Linked DNA regions of Stegostoma tigrinum. The protein of the gene in region 1 purifies or fractionates together with the protein of each later gene. This does not show direct contact. Links are inferred from orthologs where the notes say so. Each region holds a gene or a part of one and is shown on either strand. Other genes may lie near its edges.

Region 1 (7,829 bases):
ATGTTTAACTGTATTGATACAATTAACACTCCAGTTATCTGGCTCTGTGGCAAATATTCCGTAACACTCTTGACTTGCACCTTGTAGGTGGTGGAGAGGTTTGGTGAGTCAGGCAGTGTGTTTCTCACGACAGAATTACTAGCCTCTGAACAGCTGCTGTCGTCTCAGCATTTGTGTGTCTAGTCTGTTAAGTTTTCTGATCAATGGTGACACCCAGGATTTTGAGACTTGAGAATTTACTTATGATAATGTAATTGAATATTAGGAGGAGATAGTCATTTTCTGCCATTTGTCTGGCATTAATATTATTTGTCATTTATAAACTCAAGCCAGAATTATGTGTCAAGTCAGTTTGCATGCAAACAGCGACTGCTTAATTGAATTGCAATCATCAGTGAATATATCCAGTTTTGGCTTTATTTTGGAAGGAATCTCAAGATGAATCGGCTGAAGATGGTTAAACTTAGGACATGAGAAAATTGGAGCTCTTATGGTGTAGTGATGGTGTCCCTACTTCAAAGGCAAGAGAATGGGTTAAAGTCCTACCTACTCCAGAGGTGTTTAATAACATTTATGAACAGATTGATTAGAAAATACCTATTAGATCTGACCAAGGATAATCAAAATAACCTTATGTGTGAGATGTGATCCCACCAGCGTGGAGTTTTCCTCCCTATTCCCATTGATTTAACTTCCTACTTGAGGCCCCACTTAGTCAAATACTGCCTTGTGTTGTCAAAGGCAGCTACTTACATTTCACTTCCACAATTCAGTCCATTTGTTGATTATCCAACCAAGGATATGCTGATGTCTGGAGCTGAGTGATTCTGGCCAACTCCTCAGTAACAGTAAACAGGTCACTGGTGAGTATCATCCCCTTTCATCACCTTGCTGATGATCAGGTGGAGGACAACAGGATGGTATGCTGGGTTGTAGGTGTCTTGCTTTTTAGTGAAAAGAATGTACCTTGGCAACTTTCCACTTCATTATATAAATGCCAGTGCTGGAGCACAAGACATTGTTAGTTCCATAGCCCTTATAGAATACAAACAATGGATTGTTTCTTGATATTATGGGGAGTAGAGTAAATTGATCAAGACTGGTTTCTATGATGTCGGGGATACCAAGCAGAGAGAACACTGGTTCACCCATTCGTTACTTTTGGTTGAAGATGGTGGTAAAATTCTCAGCCTTATCTCTCAGATTCATGTCCTGTACTCCATCATTAACAAGAATGGAGATGCTCATGGTATCTCCTCATCCTATTAACAATCCACCATTAATTGTAACTGGATATTGCAAGACATAAATATTTTGATCTGATTTATCATGATGGCATCACTTAGATCTCCTACTTAATAATGATGACATCCTATATTGTAGCTTCACCAGACTGATATCTTACTTTAGGTGTTAATGGTGCTGCTCCTCACATGTTCTCTTAAAATTGTCATTAAACTAGAGGTGATTCCCCAGCTTAATGGTAATGATAATAGGGGCAGCACGATGGCTAGTGCTGCTGCCTTACAGCAGCAGGAATCCGGGTTCAGCTTCAGCCTTAGGCAACTGTCTATGTGGAGTTTCGCATTCTCCCTTTGTCTGCATGGGTCTCCTCTGGGCACTCCAGTTTTATCCTACTGTCCAAAGATGTGCAGGTTAAGTGGATTTGTCATGCTAAATTGCCCATCGTGTCCAGGGATGTGCAAGCTAGCTGGAAATGTGGGGTTATGGGGATAAGTGTGTGTTTGGGTGGGATGCCCTTTGGTGGGTCAATGTGGACTCAGTGGGCCAAATGGCTTGCCCCCACTCTATACAGATTCTCATTCTATTCTGTGTGAGAGTGGGTAGTATGCTGGCCCATGGTGTTAGAGGCTGTGGTTGAACACAATTCTTCTGCTGCTGGTGGCCCACAGTGCTCCAGGAATCCTTTGCTTTGAGTTTGGTTTGGTCTGGTTTAAATCTACTTCATTCATGGTGGTAATGCCACACATTACAGAGGCTGTGTTCAGTGCCACATAAAGGCTGTTTAGGGATCAAAATAGATAGACTGGGGAAGTTTTCTTTTAAAAAAAAGCATTAGCTCTTGGGATGTGGACTTCACTGGTTGGACCAGCACTTATTGCCAATCTCTGATTGCCCTTGAGAATATGTGCTTTGCTGTATGCTGGTTTGCTGAAGTCCTTTGGGTATAGGAACACCATTGTCCTGTTAGGGAGTGAGTTCCAGGATTATAAACAGAGACACTGAAGGAACAGCAATTTTCTTCCACTGCAGGACTGTATGTGGCTTGAAGAGGAACATGCAGTTGGTGACTTTCCCAAACATCTGCTGCCCTTGTCTTTCTTAAGGTGACTGGTGGTGAGTTTCAATTAAGACCAAAGATTGTGAGTTTGGGAGGTGATATGTAAGGAGCTGTGTTGAGTTGCTGCAATGCATCTTATTTCAGAATTAGCAAGGCTAAAATAGATGCCATTTTGGCGACAGCCCCCTGCAAACAGTATTACTGGCTAAATTATTTGTAAAAAACACAGCTGCATCCTTAAGAGATCTAACCTGAGAACAACATTAAACCAGATGAGGTGATCTGCGACTTGCAAGAAGGCTTTAACAAGCTGTAAAGGAACGCTTTGCACACATCTTCAACTGGTCGATCCGAGGTACTTCTGGGAATTTGCGAAATACATGTAATGTCTGTTCGGAGCTGAGTTGGATCAATGGCCACGGGAAGGAACAGCTTGTTCTTTTTAATCTCAGCTGCAAGACATTCCACTGGTTTACTGGCATACCAAGTGACTGAAAGATTTTTTTTATAAAACGTAGTCTGGGCATCGCAGATAATACACTGGATCTGTCGACACGCGTTTCGGCATGTATTCAGATCATAATTCAGTTTTGTTTGAATTCACTCCGCGTCAAAATCGCGAGTTTGCTGCGAATGGAGCGCTGTGCTTCAGCTGTTCATCGCAAGGCTAGGAAGACGAGTCAGCCTCACCCCCGAGTGGCCTGTGGGGGGGGGGTTAACTCACAGGAATACCCCTGAGATTCTCTTCAGAACATTCATGTGACAGATTCCACGCTGTCGTGACTGTATGTAGGTGGAGAGAAGCAAGACTCATTCTCCTGCTAAATGTCAATTAATTTGTTGTCTCAGTATATATACAAAGCTACACTGAAGCTCAAAGATAAATGATACCTGCTTGTGACATGTCGACTTTCTGGAAGGGGCATTTCGACATTAATTTCCAGCGTTCAAGTCAATATGACAGCATGGGTGGCAAGTATCAGTAATCTATTTGCCTGTAAGTATGCCTGCTAACTCTGGCATACTCAGGTAGGGAAAGGGATATTGAGGATTATTAGGATGATTTTTATCGCTGCCCAAACTGGGGCTAGCTAACAGAAAATGGGCATTGACCTGGGACGATTCAGGTATGCGTCATTCACTCGGTACCGCACTGTGCGCTTTTGATCAAGAGGCGATCTACTTCACACACCCTTTCTCGTCTCCTCAAAAAATATTAACGGAGTGATGTTCCATAAATAGAACCACGGGTATAAATGCAAAATTGCAATCGAAATAAATTAACCATGAAGTCGTGTTGTTTTATTAATGTCACCATTCAAAAATACGAGGCTACATTTCCACTCACTATCGCCTGAGACCGTCGCCCCACCAATCCCAGACCAACAGAGTATGTGCCAGAATGTAACTCGTTAAAACTGTATGCCACGCTAGTTGATGAGAAATGAAGCGAAGAGCCGCTTGTCACACGATGTCTGTAAAACCGTTCTTTCGTCGCTGCAAGTGCTGTTAGAAGAATCAAAGCACCGTATCACCCTTCTGGCCAGAATAAAAAAAAGTCAATGAGAAGATACTTTTAGCCGCAAATGTCAATGCATGTCCTAAACCATTATTCGCTGCGGCTTTTCCGGTTTTGATTGCAGCGGTCGGGGGATATCAAGTAAATTTTTGCTCCTCCAGTGACATTTATTTGAGCGTTCAAGTTCAGTTGTGGGCTTTTCTCTATCGTTTATGTAACCGTGCGGCTCTGCAAACGGGCTCAATAGGGGGCAAGCCCATTCTGTCACAGCGTCTGTGTACTTTAGTGTGTTTGTGGGTCATCTTCATTCGAAACAACTCTTTTTGCCTTCTACTGCTGTTTGGAAGGTGTGCGAATGAAACAGGTATCCGCAATTCAAAAAGAAACATAAATAAAACATCACAGAGACACACGCACAGCCTTTTCTCCCTCCAATCTCAAAATAATCAGTGAGCAATATAGGTCAGTGTTCAGGGACGCAATGAAGGGAGGTTTCGAGTTGTGTTTTGGGTTCTTATGGGCGAGGAGAGGAAGAAGGAGAGTCTGGATCCTTGATGAAAAGTTTGGCAACTCTCGCAAAAAAAATCTATCTAATCTAAGGACTATGATTCTGTTAAAGGGAGCAACACAACAAAAAGACGTCTCGAGAAAATCAGAACAAGATACGAAAGAAACCTCAATTGTGTAATACTTGCATATACAGCAAGCGTGTTACAAAGAAAAGTACACACACAGGGAACCCCATCAGGTTCTAGATGGCGACCACTCGCTTGGCAACAAGAGTTTCTGCGGTTCTCGGTTATTTGGGCCTCGGGTTTAGATGAAGGGAGGAGATGGGCGTGATTGACGGTTTCCCTTCGCAACAGGCTCGGCCCCATTAATCGGTGCAGCATCCGGGGGATTGCGGCTGGCAACATCCTCAACGGCGCCTGGCCCCGCCTTTCCCCTTGCTGACGTCAAGGGCTCATCCGGGGCACCCGCTGTGATTGACAGTCCCCATAGCAACGCGCTCCGTCCGCCGCCATTTTGTTGTTAAGAGGAGAGAGAAGAGAGAGAAAAAAATTTTTTCAGGGCTTTCCCGCCTCGGAAATTTTTTTTTATCCGCGGGGAGGGGGTATTTTTTTTTGTCTCTCAACTCTACCTTTCTCACCTTAGCCCCTCTTTATCCCTCACTCACCCACTCCCTCCTTACCACCACCTTCCCTAACCTCCTCCTCCTCCGTTCTGATTTTTTTTCCCTCCTCCCTCGAAGGCGAGATCGGGAGATTCGGAGAGCGGGAGGAGAAAGTTGAATGGTCGGTGCGGCCGGAGAAGTCGGTCTGGCGAGCGGCGCAAGGAGGTGTAAAGCGGGTTTGAAAAAAGGCGGCGCCGAGGAGGTGTTTGCTGTTGCGCAGGTTTGTAGTGCGCGCCATTTTGTGAAATAAAAAAAGAGAGGGGGAAAAGACCGAGTGAGAGGAGGAAAGGTGGGGAGGGGGCTGGTCACAGGCACAGTTTGATCCTGAAGAGTCACTCACATCGAGGGGACAGCAGGCAGCTCGGGGGAGGCGGGGGTTGAGGCGATTCTGAATTCTCACACTTGAGATTTATTTATTATTTTCTTTCACACCATCTCCTTCATTCCTCTCCCCTCCCTTCCCCGTAACACCGCCCCTCGCCCAGAAAGGAGGGGACAGTAAACCCAAGCGGCGGCAGCGGCTTCTCAGCAACGAGAGCGGCCTGGGTGACAGAGGGAGGGAGAGAGATAGAAGAGAAATCGGGGAGAGGTTTGTCTTGACTTTCGTTCTAATTCATCAGCCACTTAATTCTATGTTCTCACCCCCCCCCCCCCCAGCGGCCTGACACTTATTTAAGACGTTGTTATAATTTGGTTGGCGGTCTCTTCTTAAAACAGTGTTATTAACATAAGGAGCTGAGAGAGGAAGATGGACTCTTTTTGACAGTGTTACTGCGCTGAACGTGTTAAAGTATATGTTGCATATCCGAGTGTCAGCCACAGGGCACAGCAATTTAGCAGGAATTAGAAACGTTAAGCATGTCATTTTCATCTGTGTATGACAGTTGTGCTATTTCAGTGATCTGGAGAAATTTTGTTAAGGCATGTAGCGTTTGTTTAGCCAGTACATGATGCACAATTCATGTCAGCATTGATACCCAGTCTTTAGTTAGACAGTGTGGTTTCCTTTTATTTTCCTTTGCTTTTGTCACATACAAGTAAAAGAAGATTGTTCTTTTGCAACATTGTGATTCGGATGGTGCCTGCCAACAAAACATGTTGGACTGTAACACATGCAATGCAAAGCCAAACACAGCAAATATTCTGAAAAAACGTTATTTATTTAAAAATGTTCTTTCTATGCAAAGAGTGGATAGACATTAAACTTTCAGATCTGAGTAGTACCATTCTTCTTGAACTGCTTTTCTAGCCGCAAAGCGCGAGATTTTTAATTCTAAAAACTGCAGTTGTTAAATTTTGTGCCGAATAAAACAAAACTTTAACCTGAAATGTGCAGGTGTCCAGTCCAATGCCCAATGTTAAACATATCAAATTGTGGCATTGCACTAATTTGCAGTGTGTTACTAAACTGGTACATCTAACAGCAGTCCAGAACATCGGTGAACAAATTAATGACAATTATGTGAGTGGCTTGATGAATATTTTGAGAACACAATGTAGACTAAGTTGTATGTTATTTTGGTCAAGTAAAAAGAGTTTTATTTAGATTGTATTGCCAGTGTCATCCTCAATAAATGAAATGTCAGTTGCCCCTAATTACGTTTTGGGGTTAAACTTTTTATCATCCAATGCAGATTTAGGCCTGGATCTTCAACGAGTTTCTGTTGATCTCAGTAAAGGGATCCTTCCAAAAATATCTTTGACATCGCTTTGTTTTCAATACTTAGACTTCAGAAAAATATTCTGTACCAAACTGATACTTTGACTTCACCATAAAATATCAGTTGGTCTGATTGGAATTTAGTTGTTTAGTCATGTGGTATTTTAAAGCCTGTAGAGTTGAAATACTGGGGCAAAAGTTCAGTTTTTGTGACAAGATCTATATAGGAAAAAGAAGTGTATTGTTGATTGAATTCTTTGAGCTTTCCAACTAATATCCAAATAAGTCCAGTAAAAATCTGCTCCAGGCTCTGTATGCTGTTCAGGTACTTTGGTATTTTGATTTCTGACTTGTATTTTATACATGTGATTGTGCCAGATTTAGTCATTGCATAACACTCACCTAAATCATAGATGTGTGTGTTCAGCGCCATTCCAAAGACCTAAGCAGGTAATCTTGGTTGTTGGATTAGTGCTTGTGCCCTGCTCTGTTTTGGATGTGACAAGAAGTCAAGACCCTGTTTGTTCTCTCAAATGATTGTTACAGATCCCATGCTACTTCAAGGAAGACTAGGCACTTTGCCAGATCTCCTGACCATCGATTATGCATCAACCAGTATTGTAAACAATGGTATGGTGCATCATTTCATTGCTAATTAAGGGATCTAGCTGTGTAAATTAGCTGCCAAATTTTTCTGCAACACTGCTGTTTTAAAGCAGTGTGACATTGACTTTGTGGAAGTATGACGTAAGAATATGATTGCAGTATAATTTGATTTAGAGAGTTCAAAACATAGGCTGGTAAAAGTTCATTTTTTATAAATTAATCAGTTTATTCTGATTTTAAAAGCCGCAGGAGAGATATATTTACTATACAAATATGGTAGTTTGTGTTCCTGAAAGTGAAGTTCATATATGTTAACTGTGTTCCAGGTTCTGCTTTCCTGTTGGTCTTCTTACCGACCTTCATTGCTCCCTTTTCATCTATATCTGAATTTAAGGAACTTTTTTTTCTGATAAAGTCCCTCCATGAGCTTGATTCTCCTGAGCCCAACAACCAGATTGGGTACTTGTCCCTTATCCTTGCTCTAAACACCCAGTTCTAACACTGTACCCTTTCATCTCAGCACGAAATACCCATTTCTGCCGCTGCATTCTGGAAGGCTGTTGTTACA
Region 2 (7,917 bases), on another chromosome or scaffold:
AGTTGATATGGTGAGATGGACTTCCACACAACAGACATATGAGCAAAGTTTGATGGCACGGAATTAAAGGGTTAGTTGCAGCACAGACACAAAGTTAGCTGAGTGAGTGGCAGGAAACAGCAAGAGATCATGAATGGTTATATTTGGACTGAAGAATGTGGTTCCCAAAGGTCAGTATTAAGACCTCTGTTTTACTTAGTCTACATTAATGATTTAAGACTTCAGTACAATTTCAAAATGTGCACATAAAACAAAACTTGAGGGCTGCCAGGCCTGCTGAGATTCTCTAGCATATTCATGTTTGTTTATAAAGTATAGTTGTCTCGTCTCAACTAAAATAGAGTCCAATCATGGGCACCACACCTTAGCAAGGAAGTGATAATATTGGAGAGAGTGCAGAAAGATTTATAAAAATAGTTCCGGCAGGTGGAAACCTCAGCTGCATGGATAGGTTGCCAAATCTGGGCTGCCTCATAAGAGATTTAATAGAGATGTTCAAAGTCATGATAAGTCTGTGTAGAGAAGAGGGAGAAATTGTTCCCTGAGCAAAATAGTCAAAACCAATGAACACTAATATAAGTTGAACAAGTCAAAAAAGAACAAAAGTGACTCTTGGGAATTTTTTTTTACATAACGGATCATTGCGATGGGCAGATTCAATTGTGGCTTTCAAAAGAATTGATAAATGCTGAAGAGATGATCTTGCAAGACTGCAAGAAAAATAGTGTGACAGCTGATAACTCTTAAGTGAGCCAACATGGATAACAGCTGGCTGGCCTCCTTTATTGAAACCAGTCTTATAACTGTGTGTATCAGGTTTTGTATGAAGAACAGCACAAGAAGATCATGACTCTACACTTCAGCACAGTCCCATATTTAGCAGCCAATGATAACAAACAACTGCCTAAACAAAGAACCACAGTAGGTCTCTAACTCTCTTCTAAATTCCCTTGAAAGTGTTGAATTGGGGAAAGCTAATTACAACAGAATTAGCGAGGAACTGGAGAAATTAGATTGGAGGTAGTTATTGAGGATAAATCCATATCTGACACATGGGAGTCTTTTAAAGGCCAGTTGATCATTTTGGAAGGATGTGGAGGCTTTCAAGATGACTTTGAGAAGATGTTTATGGAATGTTGCCTGGCTTGGAGCATATTAGCTAACAGGAGAGGTCAGATAATCTTGGATTATTTTTACTAAAATATTTGACGCTGGAGGGGTAACCAGTAGAAGTATACAAGATTATGACAGGCAGGGATAGTAGGAGTCTTTTTCCAAGGATAGAAATGTCATATACTAGGGGCATGGTGAGAGGTGCAAGTTTAAAGAGGACGTGTGAAGCACGTTTTTTACAAGAGGGTGTTAGGTGCCTGGTACATACTATCAGTGGAGGAGGTAGAAGCAGACACAACAGCAATGTTTAAGAGGCATTTAGACAGATACATCAACAGGCAGGTAATAGAGGGATATGGACTATGTGGAGGTAGAGGAAATTAGTTTAGAATGGCATCATTGTACGTTCTTACATACACATATTCTAGTTGCCAATTATGGAGAGAAATCTGAAGGCAATTCAGATGTTCTTCTCACCGAATACAGAGGAATGCCATTGGATCTATTCTACCCGCAACCTATCATCCCATACATCTGCCTTTGGTTCAATATCCATTAAGATTTCTAGTTAACAGTAATCTATCCAAGTCTTAAATGTAACAACTGAGCTAGTTTCAATGATCATTTCCAGAAGATTCCAAACTTTTATCACCTCCTGCACATAGAAACATTTTCTAATTTTAATCCTGAATGATCTGGCTGTTTTTTAAGACTGTGCTGCTAGTTGGTAGTCCTAATGCTGTTGGTCCTACAGTCCCCAACCAGTGGAAATATTTTCACTGTATCTACTTTAAGATCATGAAAACTTTGATCAAATTCCTATTTCTAAATTCCAGGCAACACAGCCCTACCTTACAAAGAGAGTATGCAACTTTCTTTAAAAGGACTGGGCACAGATGTTCACATTTTGGGAATGTTCATTCTCAACAGTTTAAGTTAGGTATTTACATTAAAGTGCAACAATTTCTTTTTTATCTTTTAAAATTAAATCTTTACATTTGAATTACCCAGTTTTCTTTCCTAAAAGAGACAAGCATTCCATACTTTAGGATAAGAAATGGCTGGTCCTCTCTTCATGAGCAGCACAAATTCCTCCAGCGATGGCCTCCTCAAGATAAACTTAAAGCCAGTGGAGGTCCTGAAGACTTGGCCGGGGAGATGTCCTAGGATCTCCTGGTGGGACAGCATGCCCCACTGATTGTGCAACTTCCCATCCTTCACCAAGTTGAACATCTTTTGCAGCTCCAAGCAGCGTCTCCTGCGGAACTCCACCAGCACTACATCCCCAGGTTTAAAGGGCACTTCTCTGTGTGGAGGGTTCGGTTGGCAAGCACTGTCCACCTGACCAGGGACCTCCTCCTGGGGTAGATGCCAGCTGCACTCTGATGCTGCCTGCCATCCTGTGGGTGCAGAGGGCATGGATGCTGCTGTGTAATCTTTTGGGCCTGGCTCCTGGTTTATCTGCTGCAGGTCCATTACCTCCTGGGACAGCATCTCCTGTGGGATCAGGCTGCTGACCCGTTCCAGCGGCGATAGGGAACGTCTCCTCGGGAGCTGAGCCGTTCTTCCTGTCCATGTCCAGGCTGGCCCACACTGCCCAGCTCCCAGCTCCCTTCCTGGTTCTGATCCATCTTTTTCCCCTTCATCTCCAGCCCCTGAGCTGGACACAAGCGACACAAGGTTCCTATTGAAGGGCAGCCGGGCACCGGTGCATGGAGAAGAGTAACTGCATTTAGCTCCAAACTGCACCTGAAAGCAATGGGCTGCTTTGCACATTGTTCTCACTGGACGCAGCATTTTCTCCCCGCAGTGAAATCCGTGCTGTTGTCTATTACTTTGCAGCCCGGAGCATTTGCACATTGCCAGCCAGATTCCTCACTCTGCACTGACTTTGCGTTTACAAGCAGGAAGCAGACGCTTCAAAGCTCCTCCTCGGCGCCACATCATCTTAAAGCGACAAGCTTCATCCTGTCAGTGGGGAACTGCAGATGCTGGAGAATCCAAGATAATAAAATGTGAGGCTGGATGAACACAGCAGGCCCAGCAGCATCTCAGGAGCACAAAAGCTGACGTTTCGGGCCTAGACCCTTCATCATCTCTGAGATGCTGCTGGGCCTGCTGTGTTCATCCAGCCTCACATTTCATTATCTAAGCTTCATCCTATCTATGTAGGAGGGAGACACGTGGAATTTAGTTAATCGTAGCCACGCTTTAAGTATTTGAAACAAAAACATAAATGCTGGAGATTACAGGGATGGTACTTGGATGCTGCCTAATTCGCTGTGATCTCCAGCCTTCGTTGTTTTCAGCAGCTGCGGTGATTTGTTACCGCGCTTTAAATGGTTGGATGGCATAAGCAGTGAGCCCCAAATTTTCTCATCTGTATCACATTTGAAATAAGTCTTATTTAGTGACTCTATATAGAACCCCTACAGTGTGGAAGCAGGCCATTTGGCCCATCAAGTTCACACTGACCCTCTTACAAGAATCCCACCAAGACCATTCCCCTACCTTATTCCTCTAACCCCACATTTACCATTGCTAACTCACCTAGTTTGCACACCTTTGGAGTTCTGAAGAAGGGTCATTCTGCACCAAAATGTTAACTGTTTCTCTCAGGTGCTGCTGAGTTTTGCCAGCATTTTCTGCTTGCTTCAGGTTTCACAACATTTTGTTTTTATTTGAATCTTCTGTACTATATGATTGCAAATCCCAGGATCTGAGCACTTCATAAAGTCCCTACAATGTGGAAGCTGGATCTTTGGCCCGTTGAATCCACATCACTTCCCTGAAGAGCATCCCAACCAGGCCCCTGCCCTATCCTTCATTTTCCTCCTATGGCTAATCCACCTAGCTCACTCATCCCTGGACACTATGGACAATTTAGCATGGCCAATCCACCTACCCTACACATCTTTGGACTGTGGAAGGAACCCACACAGACACAGGGAGAGTTTACAACTCTACACAGATAGTCACCTGAGGCTGGAATCAAACCTGAGGCAGCAATGCTAACCACTAAGCCACTGCGCCACTTAATTTAAGGCAGTGCTGAATTAGGAGTGTATAGTGTCATGTAAGGGGTTAAGTCTGACACTGTGATTTGCTCATAAGGAAGTTATACAATGTCACATAATCGTGCTTCCTGCTAACCTCCTGAAAATATGAAGTACAGTAAGATGTTTCTTAAATACAATGTAGTTTTCCTTTTCTCAGCAAACATAAACATACTTTAGCAGCATAACAAAACCAAGAATATTATATCAAGCATTGCTCGAGATGCAGTATGTCTTTCGTGGTATTAAACCAGAGACCATCTGCCTGATCAACTGGATGTAAGACATCTCATTGTGCTTTTCAAGACGGGTGGGGGAGTTCAACAGCATCTTAACCAATAGTCAACCCTCAACCAGTGGCACCAATACAGGAAAACTACTCGATTGTCTCAATGGGCCATTTTTTGACAACTTTTGTCGGTATTGTTTTAAATTAATTAATTGGCTGTAAAGTACTGTAAAGTCCTAAGGGTGCACCCATATGACGCACTGGTGTAGAAGTTTTCTTTCAGAGCACAACCATACCCAATTTCTTAGTTACATTCCCAAAAAGACCGATAACTTTCAAAAAGATATTTGAATTCCCAGTGACTTATTAAAGGAATTATAGGACAAAACACCAAGTTTTAAGACTTTTACAATCTAAAATCAATATTGATTAAATATTTCTTGGCAGGAAACTGACAGTCTAAACTGTCAGTTAATTTTTATTAATTTTGTAACACATCAGTAACCCTATGTAATTCTCTCCCTGCACATATTTGGTGTTTACAGGATCAAGGCTTGCTTCTCTCTGTTTCAATAATATCAAAATTTATTTATTTTAGTTTTTCCAAGTATGTCCTCAACAATGTCTTTTGGGAGTCAAGTTCTCCACAGTTATAGCCCTGCTATAATAATTAACTATGATATATAAATAGCATTTACTGAAACCATATGCTAGCAGAATTATTATGTGTAGTTGCAACTTGTGTGTACCACCTGCAACTCTGGAAATAACTAATCATCCCTTCTTGCAAGGGGGCCAGGGTGGAGTTGAAGCATGTAAAAATAGGGAAGTCTAATCACAACTGCACAGGGCATTGGTAAGACAGCCCCTCGAGTTCTGTGTACAGTTTTGATCTCTTTATTTAAGGAGGGATAAGCTTGCATTAGAAGTAATTCAGAGAAAGGTCACCGGGTTGATTCCTGGGATGAAAATAGTGTCTTTTAACGAAAGAAAAAACAGTTTGGGCCTGTACAAATTGATGTTTAGTAGAATGTGATGCGATCTGACTGAAGTATAGAAAATTTTGAGGAGGCTTGATGCTGATCGTCCTTCAGGATGGATCTTCAACTGGTGGACAAAGTTTAAAATTAAGGCACCTCCTATTTAAAACAGAGATGAGGAGGAATTTCTTCCATGTAAAGCCGAGAGCTGCTGTATTTTGGAATTCTGTTGCCCAGAGAGCAGTGATGGTTGAGTACTTGAATATATTAAAGACTGAGCTTGAAGACTTTTGACCTATAAGGGAGTATATAGTTATATGGGGTGGCAGGAAACTAGAGTTAAGGTCACAAGCAGATCAGCCACAATCAGTACGATTGGCTGGGCAATTTCAAAGAGCAAAATAGCTTACTCTTCCTCCTATTTCCGTAGCTCCTTGTCACATTCTCAGGATATCCTAAAATATGTTTCAATCAATTTTTGAAGTGCAACCATTATTAGGCACTGCACAATCCTACATTATCAAATGAATATTGTATTCATTCATTTAATGCCATTCACAAACTCAGGACATTGTACAATTGCTTATTTACATTGATTAACCTGCATCAGTAACCAGACAAACATTGTACAAAAACAAAGTTGCTGGAAAAGCTCAGCAGGTGCGGCTGAGTTTAACATTCTTATCCTTATTTTCAATACCTCCATTATGCCTATTCCGATCTTTGTCATCAGCTCCAGCCTTACAACCTTCCAAGATATCTATGTTCCTCTAATTCTTGCCTCTTGAGCATCACAGATTTTAACCACTCCCTCATGCCTTCAACTGTCTTGACCCTAAACTCTAGAATTTCATCCCTAAACTTTTATTTCCCTAACTTGCTTCTTAGGTTGTTTCTTAAAATTTATCTTGCTCACCAAACTTTTGGATCACCTGTCTTAATTTCTGTTTATAAGGCTTGTACTCAAATTTTGTTCTCTAACTCTCTGAGAAGCACTTGAAGGGGGTGGGTGGCATGGTGGCTCAGCGGTTAGCACTGCTGCATCACAGCACCAGGTAACCCAGGTTTACATCCACCCTCAGGTCCTGTGTGGAATTTGCATATTCTCCCTGTGTCTGTGAAGGTTTCCTCTAGGTACTCCAGCTTCCTCCCACAGTTCAAAGATGAGCAGGCTAGGTGGATGCTAAATTGCCCATAGTGTTTAGAGGTGACTAGATGAGGTGGGTCAAAGGGGGATGCATCTGGGTGAGATGCTCTGAGGATCAGCGTGGACGTGTTGAGCTGAAGGGCCATGTTGGTAAATTGTAGGGATACTATGAAAAATATCATACTATGTTAAAGTCTCTACATAAAAGTAGGGGATTGCTTTTGGTTGTCTGAAAGCATGTTACAGCTAATGAACAACTTTAGAAATAAAGTCACCAAGAAATGTAGGAAACAACTAGGTGATTGGCTTTGAGAGGTATTGGTTGAAATTGAATTATTAGCAAGAACATCAGAAGAACTCTTGCTTAAAAGGTAATGACATCTTTTGCATGTGGTTGAAAGCTACCTCATTTTCCTCCTAATATTTTAGCTGAACAATTAGCTTGAAAAATGTAAAATCCCTTGCTATTTCCTGAATTGGTGAGTTATAGCATTCTTGTCCCTGAATCAGACCTATTCTGATGGTTGAGAACAAATATTCAAGACTGACAGTCTTGTGGAGTGTCACACTATACTTATGAATGAATTATAAAACTAAGATACTGTCTGACTCTTAAGCAGATGTAAAAGATGCTTTTGAAGAAAAGCAGGAAGCTATCTTTAAATCTAGCCAATATTTGTCACTCAATCAATCAGCATCACAAAAACAGACTAGCTATTACTTATTACATTGCTGTTAGTAAGTAAGCATCTGTTCCCTTTTGTTGAAGAGTCAGAACAATGGGACACATTTTTTAAGTGAACCGCAGGAGGGTTAGAGGGGATTTGAAGAATATTTTGGGTGGCACAGTGGCTCAGTGGTTAGCACTGCAGCCCCATAGCACCAGCGACCCGCGTTTGATTCCAATCTCGGGTGACCGTCTGTGTGGAGTTTGCACATTCTCCCCGTGTCTGTGTGGGTTTGCTCCAGTTTCCTCCCACAGTCCAAAGATGTGCAGGCTAGGTGGATCAGCCATGCTAAATTGCCCGTAGTGTTCGGGGTGTGTGGGTTATAAGGGGATGGGTCTGGGTGGGATGCTTCAAGGGGCAGTGTGGACTTGTTGGGCTGAAGGGCCTGTTTCCTCACTTGTAGGGAATCTAATTTTTTTTTGTCTAGAGGTTGCTAGGTGTGGGAAATGCACTGCCTAGGAAGATAGTAGATGTGAGTAAGCTCACAGCCTTTAAAAAGTACTTCGATGAAAACTTGAAGTGTCATAACATTCAAGGCTATGGACCTGATGCAGGAAAGTGGGACTGATGTAGGTGGTTTTGGCATTGACTTGATGAGCCAAAGGGCTTCATCTGTATGTGTGATTCTAAAGTCTGACTCTCTCATGACAGAGACAGAACTGAA

What was found. The genes of interacting proteins can lie anywhere in the genome.
Region 2: the proteins of dyrk1aa (region 1) and trmt61b purify together in Homo sapiens (affinity purification with mass spectrometry, with the first as the bait; 3 studies listed by BioGRID). This does not show direct contact. The link is inferred for Stegostoma tigrinum from reciprocal best matches to the Homo sapiens genes DYRK1A and TRMT61B.

The regions. Positions count from the first base shown.
Region 1 is NC_081365.1:17,522,391-17,530,219, forward strand, and holds the start of dyrk1aa (dual specificity tyrosine-phosphorylation-regulated kinase 1A), read left to right. Parts: upstream 1-4,820; 5' UTR 4,821-5,215; intron 5,216-5,408; exon of another isoform or gene 5,409-5,584; intron 5,585-7,829. UniProt on the Homo sapiens protein: Dual-specificity kinase which possesses both serine/threonine and tyrosine kinase activities. Exhibits a substrate preference for proline at position P+1 and arginine at position P-3.
Region 2 is NC_081357.1:18,596,715-18,604,631, forward strand, and holds the start of trmt61b (tRNA (adenine(58)-N(1))-methyltransferase, mitochondrial), read right to left. Parts: upstream 3,006-7,917; 5' UTR 2,974-3,005; coding exon 2,158-2,973; intron 1-2,157.